Tamandua tetradactyla: one gene and its partner. The protein of the gene in region 2 purifies or fractionates together with the protein of the main gene of each other region. This does not show direct contact. Links are inferred from orthologs where the notes say so. Each region holds a gene or a part of one and is shown on either strand. Other genes may lie near its edges.

Region 1 (7,922 bases), on a different chromosome or scaffold from region 2:
AATCTCAATTCAAGAGGCTGGATAAAGGCCTCCTGGAGATAAGAGAGGAAGAAGGAAGGGGACCCAGGGAGGAGGCAACAAGGCAAGGGCTTTCTGAGTACAGGGACCTTGAAGGGAGGTGGACCTGGGGTCCCTGCCTCACTGTTCATCCAGAACTGCCCATGACAGGTGCCCCACCCTCCAAACAAGTCCCAGATCGCTTGCCCTGCAGAAAGTGGGGGTATCCTCACTGTGAAAAAAAAGGGGTGAGCATGCTGTCCCAGCTTCCTCAGCAGCCGCTCCTGCAGGCGGGTAGGGGGCCGGGGTGGGTTGGGCATCGGGGGGAAGGCCTGGTAGGTGGCGATGAACAGGTCTTTGCGGAAGGACAAGCCCAGCACATCCAGGTCTTCACGGCCATAGCGGAAGGCGCAGGTGAGGGTCACAAACACTGGTAAGGGAGGGCAAGGTGGGGTGGTCAGGAGCCTCCTTCCCCAGTTCCCCTTGGACCTAGCAGCAGCTGCTCCTTCCTCAAAGCATAACCTCTGCCTGAATCCTACTCCTCACTCCCACCTCAGCCCTCCATCTCTCTGGGGCACCCTCTCAAGGCCAGCCCATCTCACCTCCCCGCCTTCCTACCTCCCTTTGGGCCCTCGGACTTGGGGTCAGTACCTTTACGGTCCTTCAGGTAGTCAGGGTCCACCAGCACCACGCCATCTAAGGAAGTGACACATGGGTTCATTTCTTGTCAGGGCCTCTCCCCCATTTCTGGGCCCAGGAACTTCATCCCTTCCTGGGGAAGGAGCTGTCACTTTCTGGGAAAACTTACCTACAGGATCCACTTTGTCCAGGTGATCTACAAAGTCCCGTTTGCCCAAGTACACGGTGAGCTAAAGGTGTAGAGGGGTCATAGGGGAGGTTGGGTAGGAGGGTGACGGGGTCTCAGAATCCTCAAGTGACTGCCCTGACCTGGGTCTTCCCTGGCTCGGATATTAGGAAGGAATTTCTCCTCTTTAACTCCCAGCGGCGCTGGAAGGGCTGGGTGGTGAGGTTTCCTAGACTGCCCATTCTTTAGGCTTTTCAGCTGTTCCCTATCCTCTTTTCAATCCTCTGCTCACCAGTCAGGTGTGTGTTTGGGTCCTTGGGGAGGCCTCAGCCCTAAGGAGCAGCTATGGGCCTCAATCACTCCCCTCAAGGGGCTCTGAGATAAACAGACCATAGCCTGGGAGCTGTTAACTTTTCCCAGCCCCAGGTATCGGGGTTGGCTCCTAAGAGGGCTGCAGGCACGGGGCTTCTGGGCCCATCCCCTTTGGCCTTGCTTAGAGACTCAGGCCTCTCCCCACCCACCCCTGCAGCAAGCTCAGGCTGAGCAGCCTCTGTGGCAAGGGGCTTCAGGAGGGAAGGAAGTTGGCTCTTAGCTGTCACAGGAAGTGGGGAGCTAGGGGTTGGGGACCATCTAGGGGCAGGCTGGGCTTTGTTAGGGCCTGGGGAGTGTTAAGGGGATAAACGCTGTGGGAGACTCACCTTGCAGTTAGGGCTCGACTTCTTGAAGACCCTAACAAAACAGAAAGGGAAACCCCACTGCCTCCCTTAGACTCAGCAGGGACCCCTGCCCACACCAGGACCTCAAACCTCCCCAGCCAGAAGCAGCTCTTACCCAGGATTCCTGTCTGGATGCTTTGAGGCTTTGCCCAGTCCTTCCCCCTCCCACTTCTTCCCAGAAGGAAAGGCAACCAGAGCTTCTTAATATTTCTAACACAGCAGCCACTTGCAGCTGGTTGTCATGGCAAATCCCCCTTTTATCCTTGGCCCACCCTCACTAGCCTCCCTCCCCTAATGGTAATGGCTTCTGGTTGCCACAGGAACTACCCCAGAGGACCTAAAGAGGAGACCTGGATGGGCAGGTAGCAGCAGTGTCTGTGTATGGCCTAACCATCTTCCATCTGCTCTGGTCCATGCCTGCTTAGCGAAGGGACAGAGGTCCCAACCTCAGAGACAGCTGGAGTACTTGGAAGATCAATGGCTTTAGCTTTCACCCCTAAAATGGTTTCTATCACAGGAACTACCCAAGTCTGACCAACTCCAATAACCTCCAGCGATCCCCATCTCTGATCTCAACACCTTAAAAGCCAATTCATCTTTCAAGATCCAGCTCAGATGCCAATTTTGGGAAGGAGACCCAGCCCAGACCCCAGATCACTTCTTTTGGGGTTTCTGTTATACCTTGTTTATGTCTGAACTGTGGAGTGATGGCACACCAACGGTAGCCAGCTGTGTCATCCGACTATCTCCTTAGACAGACTGTGCTCATCAAGGCCTTACTCAGTGTACCCCCGCCCCCGCCCCCCACACAATGTGGTGAAGATGGTGCTACCAGATGATACCCATGGGGTGACTGCTCCATGCTTGTACTGTTCGAGGGTTTCATGTGTGTTATCTCATTTAATACCCTTAACAAGCCAGTGAGGGAGGTCCCAATATCCCCGTTTTACAGGTGAGGAACCCGAGACATAGGCCTAGTGTTTTTTTTGTCTAAGGTGTCTCAGAGTGTAAATGGTGGAACTCAGATACAAACAGAGATAGTCTGGCTGTGAGTCGATGCTCTTAATCAAACTACTGTACTCTCCTGCTTCTGTAAGTGGTAGCAACAGTTTGTTGGATTGGAGGAGATTTGCTTTCCTGTTGCTGAAGCAATCTGAGCCTTGACTCCATCCCCTGCTGGGAAGGTAGGGAAGTGTCTAGGGACTCCAGTGCTCTGGTCACTTGTGGGCCTGTTCTTTGCTGCACCACCTTACTCCTCCCAATCCACTCACCTTTACCAGTGATCCCTGGAAAGAGCCTCCAGAGAGTAGAAACTGAAATCCTGCCAGTTGGCCCATCCCTTTCCATTCCCACTGCCCCAATTTCTGTTGTAACATCATTTGCCCCTTCTTCCCCAGAAGGCCAAGCTGTCCCAAGGCCATAAGGTAAAGGGTACAGATGCCTCCTGGTACCCTTAATCAATCAAGGAGAATAAAGCATCCCACTTCTTGCCCCGACTTGGGAACTGATTGCAATGGTATCATCTAGGCTTTCCCACCTCTTTGACCTCAGTTACCTCTGAGTTCCCTCTTTGTCTCAATGTTTCCTCCTATTAGGAACCCTGGCAGAGGGTTGTAACAGCCACAGTCAATTGGCCAAGTGAAGTGTGGCTCTGGGGCAATTGCCATTTGGATCTTAATCCAGCTACCTCCTGCCATGCTAGGTAGAAACCATGTGTGTAAACTGAGGTTAGCCAAGGAGGTGGGGTGAGGGGGTGACCAGGGAGGTGCTCAGTGAGGGTGGGGGTGGGGCAAGAGATGCCCCCTCACACTTCCTGCCATTCTCTCCACTTCGTGTGGCCTAGAATTTGATGGGGGTGGGGGAAACTGCCAAGTCAGCAGTCCTACTTTAGTCCATCTATCCCCCTCCCTGAACTACACAACGGAAATTGGGGGCCTCCTTCAAGTCAGGGACTTCCGCTTTCTCTGGGGTGTCCTCCAGTCCTCCCTCTCCAATACTGGGCGACTTGGCGCTTAGAAACTGGGGTTCTCATACTCCCTGGGTGGGGCGTGCTGGGGCTGATATAACATTTTGCAGAAGTGATAGCTCAGGACCAGGTCCTGATCCCCTCTGAGTTGAGGCATAAGGTTGCAACCTTTTACTCTTTGCTCCTGCTTCCCAGGGACTAAGCATCTACCCCTTTCCCCCTTAGGGGTGTTGGGTCACAACAGGAAGTGCATTTTGCTAGAAGCCAAAAAAGAGAACTCGGGGTGTCAGTGGAAGGAAGGAGCCTCGATTGCACCGAAAACATCCGGGGAGTAGATGTTATGCCCAGGGCAGATACTACCCTCTCCCACCCCCGCCCGATACCCAGAGTGTGGGAGGAGTTGGGCCCAGAATCGGGGAGGGTCGCCATGAACTCTCTTTCCCCAAGATGAAGGTGTTACTGTTAGCAACCTGGGGGAAGGCAGAAGTTTGGAAGCGGAGCGACCCAGTCCTCGGGACAGATGGGGGCAGTACAACTGCTTATGGGATACTGGACGGGAGGCTTTCCACTGGCTCGACATTAGTTTTGGGGCTTCCTATCCCGACGTCCAGCCACTCCATACACATCCCTTTGGGGCCACCTGCTCTTACCCCGCCCTTGCATCGCAGCCTGCACGGAGAACCCAGGCGTCCGGCCCCCACATCCCTACAAGAACCCAGACGCCGGTTTCCTGGTCCCCTTCAGCCCTCGCTTCCTAAAGGGGCCCGGGCATGCGCCCCCATTATCCGCGAGGACCTAGGTGTGCGGCCCTGGATGGCTGCCCCCTAGGGACCCAGGAGTCCGGCCCCCCGGATTCTCTCCCCTGTGTCCTTGTCTGGGGACCATCCCAGCACCAGCCGCGAGCCGCCGCCCATGCCCTGCGGCGTGGCCCCACCTCCCTACCTGGTCCCGGGTTTCTCCCCCATGGTGCGCGCGCCCGCCGTCAGACGCCCCGCCGGGTTCGCCGCTCGCTCGCAGCCTCTTCGCCCGCAGCCAGGTCCCTACTCCTCCCCGCGCCAGTGCGCACGCGCGTCCTCCGCTCTTTCTCCTCTCCCTCCTCCCGGTCCGCCCTCCCCGCCCCCGCCCTCGGATCCTGGGGAACCGGGGCCAGATGCGTCAACCCGGATCGCGCGCGCCGCGGCGCTGCCCGCCCTTCCCTCCCAAACACGCGGTGATTGGCTCCGCCCTCACCCTCTCCGCCCTCACCCTCTCCGCCCTCCAGCCCCGCGAAGAAGCTCTCCCGGCGTGCGCGGTTCCTACCGCGGCTCTTCCTGCCCATTTCCCCGCCCCGCTACATTCCCTTAGAAGCTAATTGGGTTCTCTTAATCAAAGGTTCCCGCCTTCCAGGAGAATGGAGGACTCTGATTGGCTTCCGGCATGCAGGACCTTGCAGGGGTCACCTCCCCTTTGTTTGCTTTCTCTGTGGCGGTGGAGGCGTTGGGGGCGTTGGGGGCGGTGGGGGCGGTGGGATGAGCCTAAGCACATTCTGGGAAGGAGGATGAGGGGGATTCACACGTGGGTGAGCGATTGCAGTTGCGTGATATTTCCTTTTCTGCGCGCTGCTCACCGGCTCACCCCAGAGTGAGCAGCCTTATTCGGCCCTTCATCCTGCTTTATTGTGGTGCCTCAGCTCCCCCTGGTGTCTATCTTTGCTCTTCGCAGAATTCTTTTTCCTAATTTCTCCTCCATCCACCCTGGATCCACCCTCCTTTCCATCCATCCTATTTTGTGCCAGTCCTTACGCTAGGCGATAGGGACACAGACGTGAATTAATGAATTAACATGGTCCCTGCCTTCCGAAGGGTCGAGGGAGACATAAATAGGTATTAAGAGACCAAGAATACTATAATAGAGGTATGACTCAGAAGACAAAGTGTTCTTGGGAGGGGTTGAGTGGGCTGTCCAGAGGAGGGGACATTTGAGGACAATCTTGAAGGATGGGCAGAAGCTGGGAAAAGGTATTCCAAAAGGAAGGGGGGAGGACAAAAGATACTTCCTGTTTTGAAGTGTTTGTGGGGTAGAGGGCAGGAGAGATGGGGTTGGAGAGGAGCACGGGAACAGGCTGTGGAGGATTTTGTATAGCCAGCAAAGGAATGAGGCTAAAGCTGTTCTTTCAGGACACCAGTGGTGGCTTTTTTCTTTTCTTTTTTTTAACTTTTATTGAGAAAACCAAACAACATACAAACACGAACATTCTTAACATATAAACATTCCATACTTGGTGTGCAATCAATGGCTCACAATATCATCACAGTTGTATATTCATCACCATGATCATTTCTTAGAACAATTTAATGAGTTGCGGCTTTTTAAAGCAAGGGTATGGCATGATGAAATTTCTTTAGGAAGACAGATCTGGGCAATGTGGAAGGTGGAGGTAATGGGGCAAGACTGGGACAAGGTAAAGGAGTTTAGCTGTATGTAAATTAGTCAAGGGAGATGATGAAGTCTTACAATGGGAGGGGAGAAGAGGGACCAGACTGAAGAGTCATTTCTGGGGTAAAATTGACTGGACTTGGACTTGGGAAAGGATGATGGATGACTGGAATTTCTGGACTTATGTAGGGAAGGTATTTCTCCTTCTTCTATCTCTTGTCTTATACTCCCCTGTACACCTAAACAAACTACTTCCACACGTCTCCCTCTTCTTCTCCATGCAACCAAAAAAGTAATGTGTGTGACCCGACAATTTCTGATCTTTAAAGTTCAAACACAGGCTTTGCCACCAATATTTCCCTCCACCACCCATCACCCAATTTCCTCACCACCTTCTAAGCTTGTTCTTCATCCCTGTTTTAGTTTCCTATACTGCTCAAGCAAATACCATGAAATGAGTTGGCTTACAATGGGAATTTATTAGCTTACAGTTTGAGGCCACCAAAATGTCCAAATCAAGGTATCATCAAGGAAATGCTTTCTTTGCGAAGACTGGCTGCAGAGATCCTTGGCTTCTCTGCCACATGGCAAGGCACATGGTAGTTCTACTGGTCTTTCCCTTCTCTTCCTAGTTTTGTTGATGTCAATTTCTTACTTCTGTGGCTTTCTCTATCTTGGTCTGCATTTCATTCTTATATAAAAGACTACAGCAATAGGATTAAGATCCATCCTGAATGAGGTGGGTCACACCTTAACTGAAGTAACCTCATCAAAAAGTCTTACTTACAGTGGGTTTACATCCACAGGAATGGATTAAATTTAAGAATATATTTTTCTGGAATACATTAGGCTTCAAACCACCACAACCTCTTTCAAGCTTTATGCTTTTTTGGCTTGTGGATGAATTTGATCTAAATTTGACTTTGGACAAAAGGTTATGGACAAAGGGTTTATGAGATCTGTATTGCTACATATCTGAAGTACCACTGGTACAGAAAGGCAGTGGTGCGCTTGACATGAAAGCTACCATATTAAAAGATAGTAATGTATCCCCCTCTCTACGTGGGACATACATCCCAGGGGTGTAAACCTTCCTGGCAACGTGGGACAGAAATCCTAGAATGAGCTGCTACTCAGCACCAAGGGATTGAGAAAACCTTCTAGACCAAAAGGGGGAAGAGAGAAATAAGACAAAATAAAGTGTCAATGGCTGAGAGATTTCAAACAGAGTTGAGAGGTTGTCCTGGAGGTTATTCTTATGCATTATATAGATATCACCTTGTTAGTTAAGGTGTAATGGAGAGGCTGGAGGGAAGTGCCTGAAAATGTAGAGCTGTGTTCCAGTAGCCATGTTTCTTGAAGATGATTATATAATGATTTTAGCTTTCACAATGTGACTGTGTGATTGTTAAAACCTTGTGTCTGATCTTTTATCTACCTTATGGACAGATGAGTAAAACATAGGGATTAAAAATAAATATATAATGGGGGAACAACTGTTAAAATAAATTTAGTAGATTGAAATGCTAGTGATCAGGGAAAGAGAGTGATAAGAGGTATAGGAAAAAAATAGGGGAAACAAAGGCTAAAATATATTGGGTAGATGGGAATACTAGCAATCAATGAGAGGGAGGGGTAAGGGGTATGATATGTATAAGCTTTTTTCTTTTTATTTCTATTTCTGAATTGATGCAAATGTTCTAAGAAATGATCATGGTGATGAATATACAACTATGTGATGATATTGTGAGTTATTGATTATATACCAAGAATGGAATGATCATATGGTAAGAGTGTTCATTTTTGTATGCTGTCATGTTAAAAAAAAAAAGGTAGTAATATATCCTGGGTGGGAAAAATCAATGTTAAAACGATGTCATTTCTTCCTAAATTGTCTATAAATTTAATGCCCCATCAATCAGAACAACAATGGGATTCTCTGGGGGAGGGGGTGTTGACAAGTTGATTCTAAATGTAATCAAAAGAACCCAATTTCAAGTATAGCTAGAGAAATTCTAAAAAA
Region 2 (7,922 bases):
AATCATTTCCAGAAGGCTAACTACGCAATGTAAAATCCAAAAACCTTTGAAATAGATCCCGTCTTTCTTACAACTCAAAACAGACTGTGCCACATACATGTACACACCTGTGGTGCCTAAAGTTTTGGCAAAGGGTAGACTACACCACCACATGTTTTTAATCACAATTGTCTTAACAGTTTTATCAGGAAGGTAGTGCTGCTCTAGGAGATAGGAGAATGTTTCCTGAATGCCATGGCCTCCCGAGATATTCCAGGGAATGTATTAATAAGGCAAAAATGCCACAGCCCAGGCTTTCATCAAAATCAGCAGCATTAGTTTACGTCTAGAGAATTGTTTATAATATGCCATGGTGCTCCCTGGATATTTGAAAACTGTGTATCCTATACCAGGTCTGAAAAAGATCTGAAGTTTCAAACAACTTTGTTTCATGGGGCAGTATATAAAACGGCAAAGCACAGCCCTCTTTCTTTGTAGGCTTACGCACTGCCTAACAAAGAGCACAGCTTTCATACAGTAGGTGCCCATTATTTGCTGGCTGGATTCAGTTGCTTCATAAGACACAGTCTTACAAAACAAAAGAAACCATATTAAAAAGGAAACTACTGTCCCCCAGGGCTCTCCTTGGCAAAACTCTAAGGCAACAAGTGAAAATGATACAGTTGATTTTCATTACCGCCCTGATCTTGCAACAATAGGAAGGACAGGAAACATTTTCATTAGCAAACTAAGCCTTAGACAAAAACCAAACACAAATGTAAACAGCAATTATTCTCTATGTCTTTTCCTATTAAGGGCCAAGGTAAATCTGGAAAAAGGCACCACAGTTGAAAAAACAAAGCAGCCATATTTTAAAGTATTTTTGTTCTGTAATTTTAATTTCCAAAAAAAAAAATCACTGTATGCTTGAAATAACTACTGTATCCTACAAAGATTCCTTTTCCTGCTCAGATTCTAGAGCTATTTAAGAGGTAAATAAGAAAAAAAATCACACTGCATTAAAATTTACAGTTCATCCTCAATCTTAACCACAAGTGGTAGTGAATATGGTACATCAAAAAAAGAGTGGAAATTATTTACCATCTCAAAACACTACATTATTTTTATTTTGTTGCTGTTGTTGGAAAACATGCATAACAAAACTAGAAATGCAAACAGCCATCCAGGCTCAGCTCCTAAACCCAAACTATCCTGAAAAGACCTATACCATAGCCGATTTAATTGAGCACTTCTCTGTAACAAATCTGACTTTTACCAGCATTTGTGTTTTTAAATCCAACCCCTCAATCCTTAACTCCAGCCACATATAACCAAGATTCTTTTTTCCTGCTTGTTCATTTTTCCTATGGTATGGAATCCTGCTGCCATAGCTTCAGTTATCAGTTTGGTGTTTTACTAGAATTCTGGGGCATGACAAACTCCAGAAATGAAAAAAAGGGGGGGGGCACCTTAATAATTTTAATCCTTAATAGATGTTACTACATCCAGAGCTGCTCAGCCATCAGTATGGTCTAACCAGGACACTTTATCTCACCAAAAAGAAACCTTGTATCTATTAGCAGTCACTCACCATTCTCTCCTTCAGGCCTTGAAACCACCAAATCCTTTCTGTGTCTAAAGATATGCTTATTCTGGACATTTCATACTAATGCAATCATACAATAGGTGGTCTTTTGCGACTTACTTGTTTCATGTACCATAACGTTTTCAAGATTCATCCATTCCACCTTAACAGATTTCTTAAGGTTAGACATTTCTCATACTTTTGACAAATCAAACATATGACCTTTTAAACTCTGATTCCTGATCTATACCCCAACAATCCCCAAAATATTGTTTACTTGCTATCTCCCTCTACAGAGTCTAAACTATAATTTGCTATTTAGGTTCTTTCCAAAGTTCTTATTCTGGGTTTTCCTTCTGGGCGTAAAACACTAACTTCTTTGAACGCCAACATTTCACACACCTACGACAATAGGGTATTACAGTGCTGGGGCAGAAAGATGACTGTATCCTTTTAATCCTTTTAATGAAACGGCCACAATATGTTTAAAGTGCATGTTGATTTAAAAATAAATAAATACAGCCATCAGATTATTTGGCTATTACTCATAACTTCCAAACCCCAAACCTCCCTTATTTAGATGCTCCATCTGCATTCTATTGATACAAAACACACAAACATGCCCATATGGCTTCACCGGCTTCAAAAACTTCTAAATTTTCTAAGGAAAAAAAAATACAAAAACTCCATCCTATTGCCATCACATTCAAAGATGAGACGCTACTCCCTAAATAAGCCAGCACAATATCTGCAACCCAGCTCCAAAAACACCCAACTCTTTATGACTATACTAGACAACACAGACAACAGCCAAAACAATGCTAGTATCTGATAGGATTCGGTAGCTTATTTCTATCAGATTTAACAGTCCTAGCACCTTCCCGACTAAGAACTGAATGTGCGTGCACCATGAGCACAGCATCTAATCCTCAAAACTTCAGAGAAGTAGGGAGGGGCAGATACCGAGTCAGAACTTCGACAAACCATAATGGGGATTTGGGGTATCTTCTGGTCATCCTTCGGTCTTTAGTGAACCAAGCACATTGAAGAGATCTGTGAGAAGAGCTTTGGTATCACCGGAGTATAAACATGCATTAAGTAAAAATATTTCTTCCTTTCTCTCCAGTTTTCTCAAGAAAGAACCGCCTTTCACAAAGAATATTTTTCAGCAACGCTCCAAACAACACATCCTATTTTAAAATGCCCGACTCTTTCACCAGAGAATCAAGGCCATCACCGCTATTTTGAATTTTCAGAAGTTACTAACATTAAAAAAAAATAAAACTAGAGGAACTATACGGAATTCAGTGGCATGCTACAGTAAAATGGATTAGCTCTCCTGTGTCTTCTAAACTATATTTAGCTTTTAAAAGCTAGAAACCCTCCACTGTCCCCCAAACCCCATCTGAGCTCCTTAGCAGAAGGGAAAGAAAGCCCTTTCTCAGTGTGCTCAAAGTTTGGAAAACAAAGAACAGGAGAACCCAATCTGTGGAAGGTCCCGGCCCATTCCGCGTCTTCCAGCAACTCAATGTGGTAAACATGCTAATTCTGTAAAGCTTTTCTCCTATTCCATCATGGACAAGGCGTCTTTAAGAAGCATTTGTTTATAGAAACAGCCTTTCTGAATTGCCCCGTGACGAGGCCAGACAACCCCCACAGCCTCCCGCTTTTCCCCCTCACTCTTCAAGGCTCAGTCGTGATTTTTCAAAGTTAATTGGCACCACCTGCATACCCTCGGCAAACATTACTCACCAGCAACGCCCTCACCGTTCCCTGCCCCAGTTCTGGGACTACATTTCAACTTTTTAATCGTGTTCAAACTACCTTTCCATCCTACCACCCCGAGCTCACCAGTAAAGCACACTTGAATTTTTTCAGATAACTAAACTAAATCCCCCTCCCTCGCCTCCCTCCACACAAGGTGGGAGCCGAAGTTCTCGCACCCTCCCTCCGCGCGCTCCTCTACCCCTACCCGACACCACCAAACAAAAGCTATCAGATTGCAAGCGATAGCGAGTGTGGAGCGATACTGCTTATTAACGACGTACAAAGGCAGTGCTGGGCGAGTTTGGGGGGGGGGGGGCAGCACTGCTCTGTCCACAACACAACCGACGCCTGGGCTCTGCGCTCGCAAAACACCCCACCCCACCCCCACGGATCCTGGCGCGCCTTAAACGACAGCGCACGACACCTCTTGCCAGGGCAGGCGTCTAGGTGTCCCCGCGCGGCCGTGTGGCGGCGGCCACACCTCGGGGTTGCGAGCACGTGTGTGGAAATACACGTCGACTCCGACCACACAACGCACTAACGCGCTCTCGGACGCGGTCCTCGTCCCCTCCACCACCACGACCCGTCTTCCCCACCACCCCCCCGAGAGGAAGAGAAAAAAGCCGCCAGAGCCGGGGAGAAACGGGGAGTAGGTCCCAGAATCCTCTGAACTGGGGCACAGGCGCGTCCCCCCCCAAAGGGCCTGGCTTATGAGGAGCCCCGAACCCACATTTTCCCAGGGGCTGAGTCGGGGAGCGCAGCGGGAACTCTCCGCTACCCTCGAGGCGCACAGGGCAACCCGGGGACGCCGGGGGCAGATAGTTCCCGCCAGGTAACCGGCCGCGGGGTGCCAAGAAAGGTCAGGAACCTAAAGAGCTCACGCGACCAGGGAACTATTTGTGGAATCAAAAGCTCCCCAGGGGTGAAGCACGTTGGGCGACAGGAGGCCGCGCCGCGCCACCCCGGGATGTTTGGAAACGTGTCCTTGAGCTGCGGGACCTCCCCACGGGCCACCTCCCCATCGAGAACAACTTGCCCCCCGCGAGCCGGGCGACTCCCCGCCTCTGGGTACCGCGTCTGGCCCCAGCGGCGAGGGCACCGGGCGGCCGCGGTAGCTGTCACCGCCATCTGTGCGCCGCGCCGGGACCAGCGCTGCGTGCGGGTGGCCCCGCGCGCCGGGGAGCGACGAGGGACGGGCGGCGGACCCCATAGGGGGCGGGGGGCGGGGGGGGCGAACCGATGGGGACGAGACCTGCCTCGCCGCCAACTTTCCCCGGCCGGGCAGCCCCGAAGTGAGCGCCGCGGACCAGCCGGGGTCGCGGGGCCCTGCTCTCCGGACGGCGAAAGAGAAAGCCCCCGAGGCCCTTCCCGAGTCGGGATGCGCGAAGCCGGGACCCCCAGGCTCCGCTCCGGCCACCCGGGCCGAGACCCCTCGGCCCTCCGCAGCCCGCCCGGCCACTCCCGAGCCCGAGGCCAGACAGCTGCGACGGCGGCAACTCGGGTTTCGCCAACAGGGCGCAGCCCCTCGGAGGAAAAGTTCCCGCAGTGGCCGCGGGCGGCGGGGCCCATACTCACTTTCTCCACTCGTCGGCCAGAGCGAGAGCGCGGCGGAGAGAAACAGGAGCCCCCACAGCGAGGTCGGGGACCCTCCTCCGGAGCCAGACTTCATTCCTTTTATTTGGGACGAAATTCCCCTTTCTCAAAAAAAAAAAAAAAGAAAGAAAAGAAAAGGGGGGTGGTGGTGGTGGTGAGAGGAAAAGAAACAAGCAAGTCTCAAACTCAAGTCTTCGCACCCCCCCCCCTTTCAAAAAACAAGGGCGAGGGAAACAATAATCGAAGGGAGGCGCCGGCCGGGAGTTTCGCGCGGGCTGCGCGGACGGGCGCGGGGCTCGGGGACCCCTCAGCGCCGGCAGCCGCGGCCCAGGGCTCGGCGGAGTCGGGAAGCCGAGGAGCGCCGGGGCGGGCTATCAGCATCGTCGGCCTCCATTTTCAAACCCGGAGAGGCAGGAGTGGGGGGGGGGGGGAGAAAAAAAAAAAACTGCAGGAAGGGGGGGGGGGGGGCAGAGCCCAAATCAGTCTTGGCGAGGAAAAACAAACCCGACCCCAAACACAGGGAGAGGCTTCCCGACGCCCGAGCCGCCGCGGCGGGAGGGCGCCACGCAGTTCGCAATCTTCCCCCGAAGTCCGGGTCGCGGGAGAGGCCCGAGAGGGGCAAAAATGAGGAGTCGAAATGAATGAGAGGCTGCCCCCTCCTCCTCCTCCTCCTTCTCTCCTCCTCCTCCTCTCCTCCTCCTCCTCTCCTCCTCCTCAGAGCTCCGCTCGCCGCCGCCGCCGCCTCCCTCAGCGCCGCCGCTGCCGCCACAGGCTCCTTCCTAAATCCAGGACACACACAAAGCGGCGGGCCGGCCGCGCCGCGCTCTGCACTCCCGCCGCGCCGGCCCCCGCCCGCGCCCCCGCCCGCCGCGGCGCTCCGCGCGGGGGGCTCCGCTCGCTGAAGGTCAAAGCCGAGGCGCGCGGCGCGGCCGGGGCGCTCCCCCTCGCGAGGGAGGGGCGTGGAGGGCGCGGGAGGGGGGCCGGGAGCGGGGCAGAGGGTCTGCGAGCGCGGGCCGCGGGCGCGCCGGGGGCAGGCTCGCTGGCAGCTTCCCTCCCGCTCGCTCGCTCGCCTCTCTCGAGTTCGCCTGGTGCGCTCGCTCCTCCGCTCCTCCGCTCCTCCTCGGGTTTTTGTTTTTGTTAGGTTTTTTTTCCCCCCCTTCTTTTTTTTTTTTTCTTTTCTTTTTTTTTCCTTTCTTTTTTTTTCCGCTCAGCGGAGTTAATGCTGGTAAACAAGAACCTCAGCCTCGCCGCGCTGCTGCCGCCGCCGCTGCCACACACTGGGGGCTCGCGCGCGCGCGCGCTCCCGGGGCCGCGCGCCCGCGCGCACCCTAGAGCGGCCACCGCCGCAGCCGCGGCGCGCGGAGGGCCCGGCCCAGGCCGGCGCGCGCCAAGAGCCGGAGCCCGGGATCCCGGGGACGTGCGGAGCGGAGCCGGGGCGTTGGGGCTCGAGGTTTGCGAATCGCCGTCCCCGCCCCTCGCCCGCGCCGGCACACGCGCGCACACATTCACACACACACAAACACGCGCGCGCGCGCACGCCCTCACCCCCACCCGCACTGCGCCGGCCAGCCCGCACGCGCCCTGCCCTCCCCTCCCGCAGGATTCCAAAAACAATGCCCCCGGCGCCGGCCCCGGCCCCGGCTGGGTGGAGGGGTGTGGGGAGGATGGGAGGGGGCGGGGTGGGCGGGGATCGCGGGGCCCCGAGAGGTTCATTGAAAACAACAGCGCGGCTGGAGAGCGCGTTTCCCTGGTTCTTGAAAAGCTTCATTGTTTCTTGCAGCTGTTGCAAAATAAATAAATAAGTGTGTGCATGCGGCATTTTTTCGCAGCGTGCTGGAAAGCCCGAACGTGGCGGGAGGGGGCACACCTGGGAGAAAGGGGACCCCTCCAGGCCACTACGGCGGGCACATTCACGCAATTCCGTGGGCCTTCGCGACATCGTGGCTGGGGAGCCCCGAGGTCCAGGCTTCGCCTGGGCTGCTGGACGGAGGGCGCGGCCCCGGGGGGCGAGGGGAGAGCGGCGCCAGCCGCCCACCGCCCGCCGCGAGTCTGGGAAGGAGGGGCCCAGACTGGCGGCCCCGCGAGCCTAGTGCGCATCGCCGCGGCGGCCGCCAGGGGGCGCTGGGGAGGGCTGGCCCGCAGAGTGTCGCCTCCTTCCCTCCGGGGGAGGAAATGTGGGGGCCCGGGCTTGGGGCCCGCCTGGGGCCGGCCGGCTGGGACATTGGGGCCGGGCCTCCCAGCCCCGCGCGCTGCCCACGGCCTGGAGCTGCTCAGGGCTCCACCACGTGGGCGGCTGCGGGGAGCGGCCGGGGTGCGCGCGCGGTGCTGGGTCGCGGGGACCCCGAGACTAGGGGGCGTGCCCGAGGACCTCCCCCTCCCCGAGGTTGGAGGCACGGGGGGCCCGGCCCGGGACCGGACGCGTCTCTTGGCTCGGGTGGAGCTCGATGAACGCGCCGCACACACCCGGGATCAGTGGCCACTGCGGAAACCTACCCGCACCTGCCTCGGGTCCTCCCGGGCACGTCCCTCTTGCTTCGTGTGCTACGTAAGTGACCAGATACCAGCACCAATCCCAAGTCTCCTCTGTGGTTTCCTTAAATGTGCCGAGGAGAGGTTTCCCCGAGGCGGGTCTGCCTCAGGACTCCCGTCTGATGAATAAATGCTGCAGAGACCAGGTCCTCAAAGTGGGAAGCAGTTGGCAAGAAAGGAGTTGGAAATACGTGGACTTTTAAAAATAGCGATTGGGCCACGTGTCGCCTGTAAATGTGGTTCGTTCGTGACTCAGGCTATTTGATGTCAGTAATAAATAAAAAGAAGATGGCTAATAAGAGTTGTGAATGTCTGGATGTTTTGTCTCAAACAATCAAGCTGTTTGGTAGAGAGACTTGTTCTTGAAGGAAAGGTAGATTTCTTCTATTATTCTCTAATTGTAAAATATTCCGTTAAGCATCCTGTCATTGGTAAATAATTATTAAGGAGCTGAAATTATTAAGAGCTG

Evidence for each region. Proteins that work in one complex are often made in the same cells at the same time.
Region 1: the proteins of IGF1R (region 2) and ARRB2 purify together in Homo sapiens (affinity purification with western blotting; 4 studies listed by BioGRID). This does not show direct contact. The link is inferred for Tamandua tetradactyla from reciprocal best matches to the Homo sapiens genes IGF1R and ARRB2.

The regions. Positions count from the first base shown.
Region 1 is NC_135332.1:60,672,023-60,679,944, forward strand, and holds the start of ARRB2 (beta-arrestin-2), read right to left. Parts: upstream 4,461-7,922; 5' UTR 4,450-4,460; coding exon of another isoform or gene 4,427-4,449; intron 4,190-4,426; 5' UTR 4,188-4,189; coding exon 4,135-4,187; intron 1,532-4,134; coding exon 1,501-1,531; intron 867-1,500; coding exon 806-866; intron 694-805; coding exon 649-693; intron 428-648; coding exon 231-427; intron 1-230. UniProt on the Homo sapiens protein: Functions in regulating agonist-mediated G-protein coupled receptor (GPCR) signaling by mediating both receptor desensitization and resensitization processes.
Region 2 is NC_135338.1:85,577,859-85,585,780, reverse strand, and holds the start of IGF1R (insulin-like growth factor 1 receptor), read right to left. Parts: upstream 5,199-7,922; 5' UTR 5,001-5,198; coding exon 4,907-5,000; intron 1-4,906. UniProt on the Homo sapiens protein: Receptor tyrosine kinase which mediates actions of insulin-like growth factor 1 (IGF1). Binds IGF1 with high affinity and IGF2 and insulin (INS) with a lower affinity. The activated IGF1R is involved in cell growth and survival control.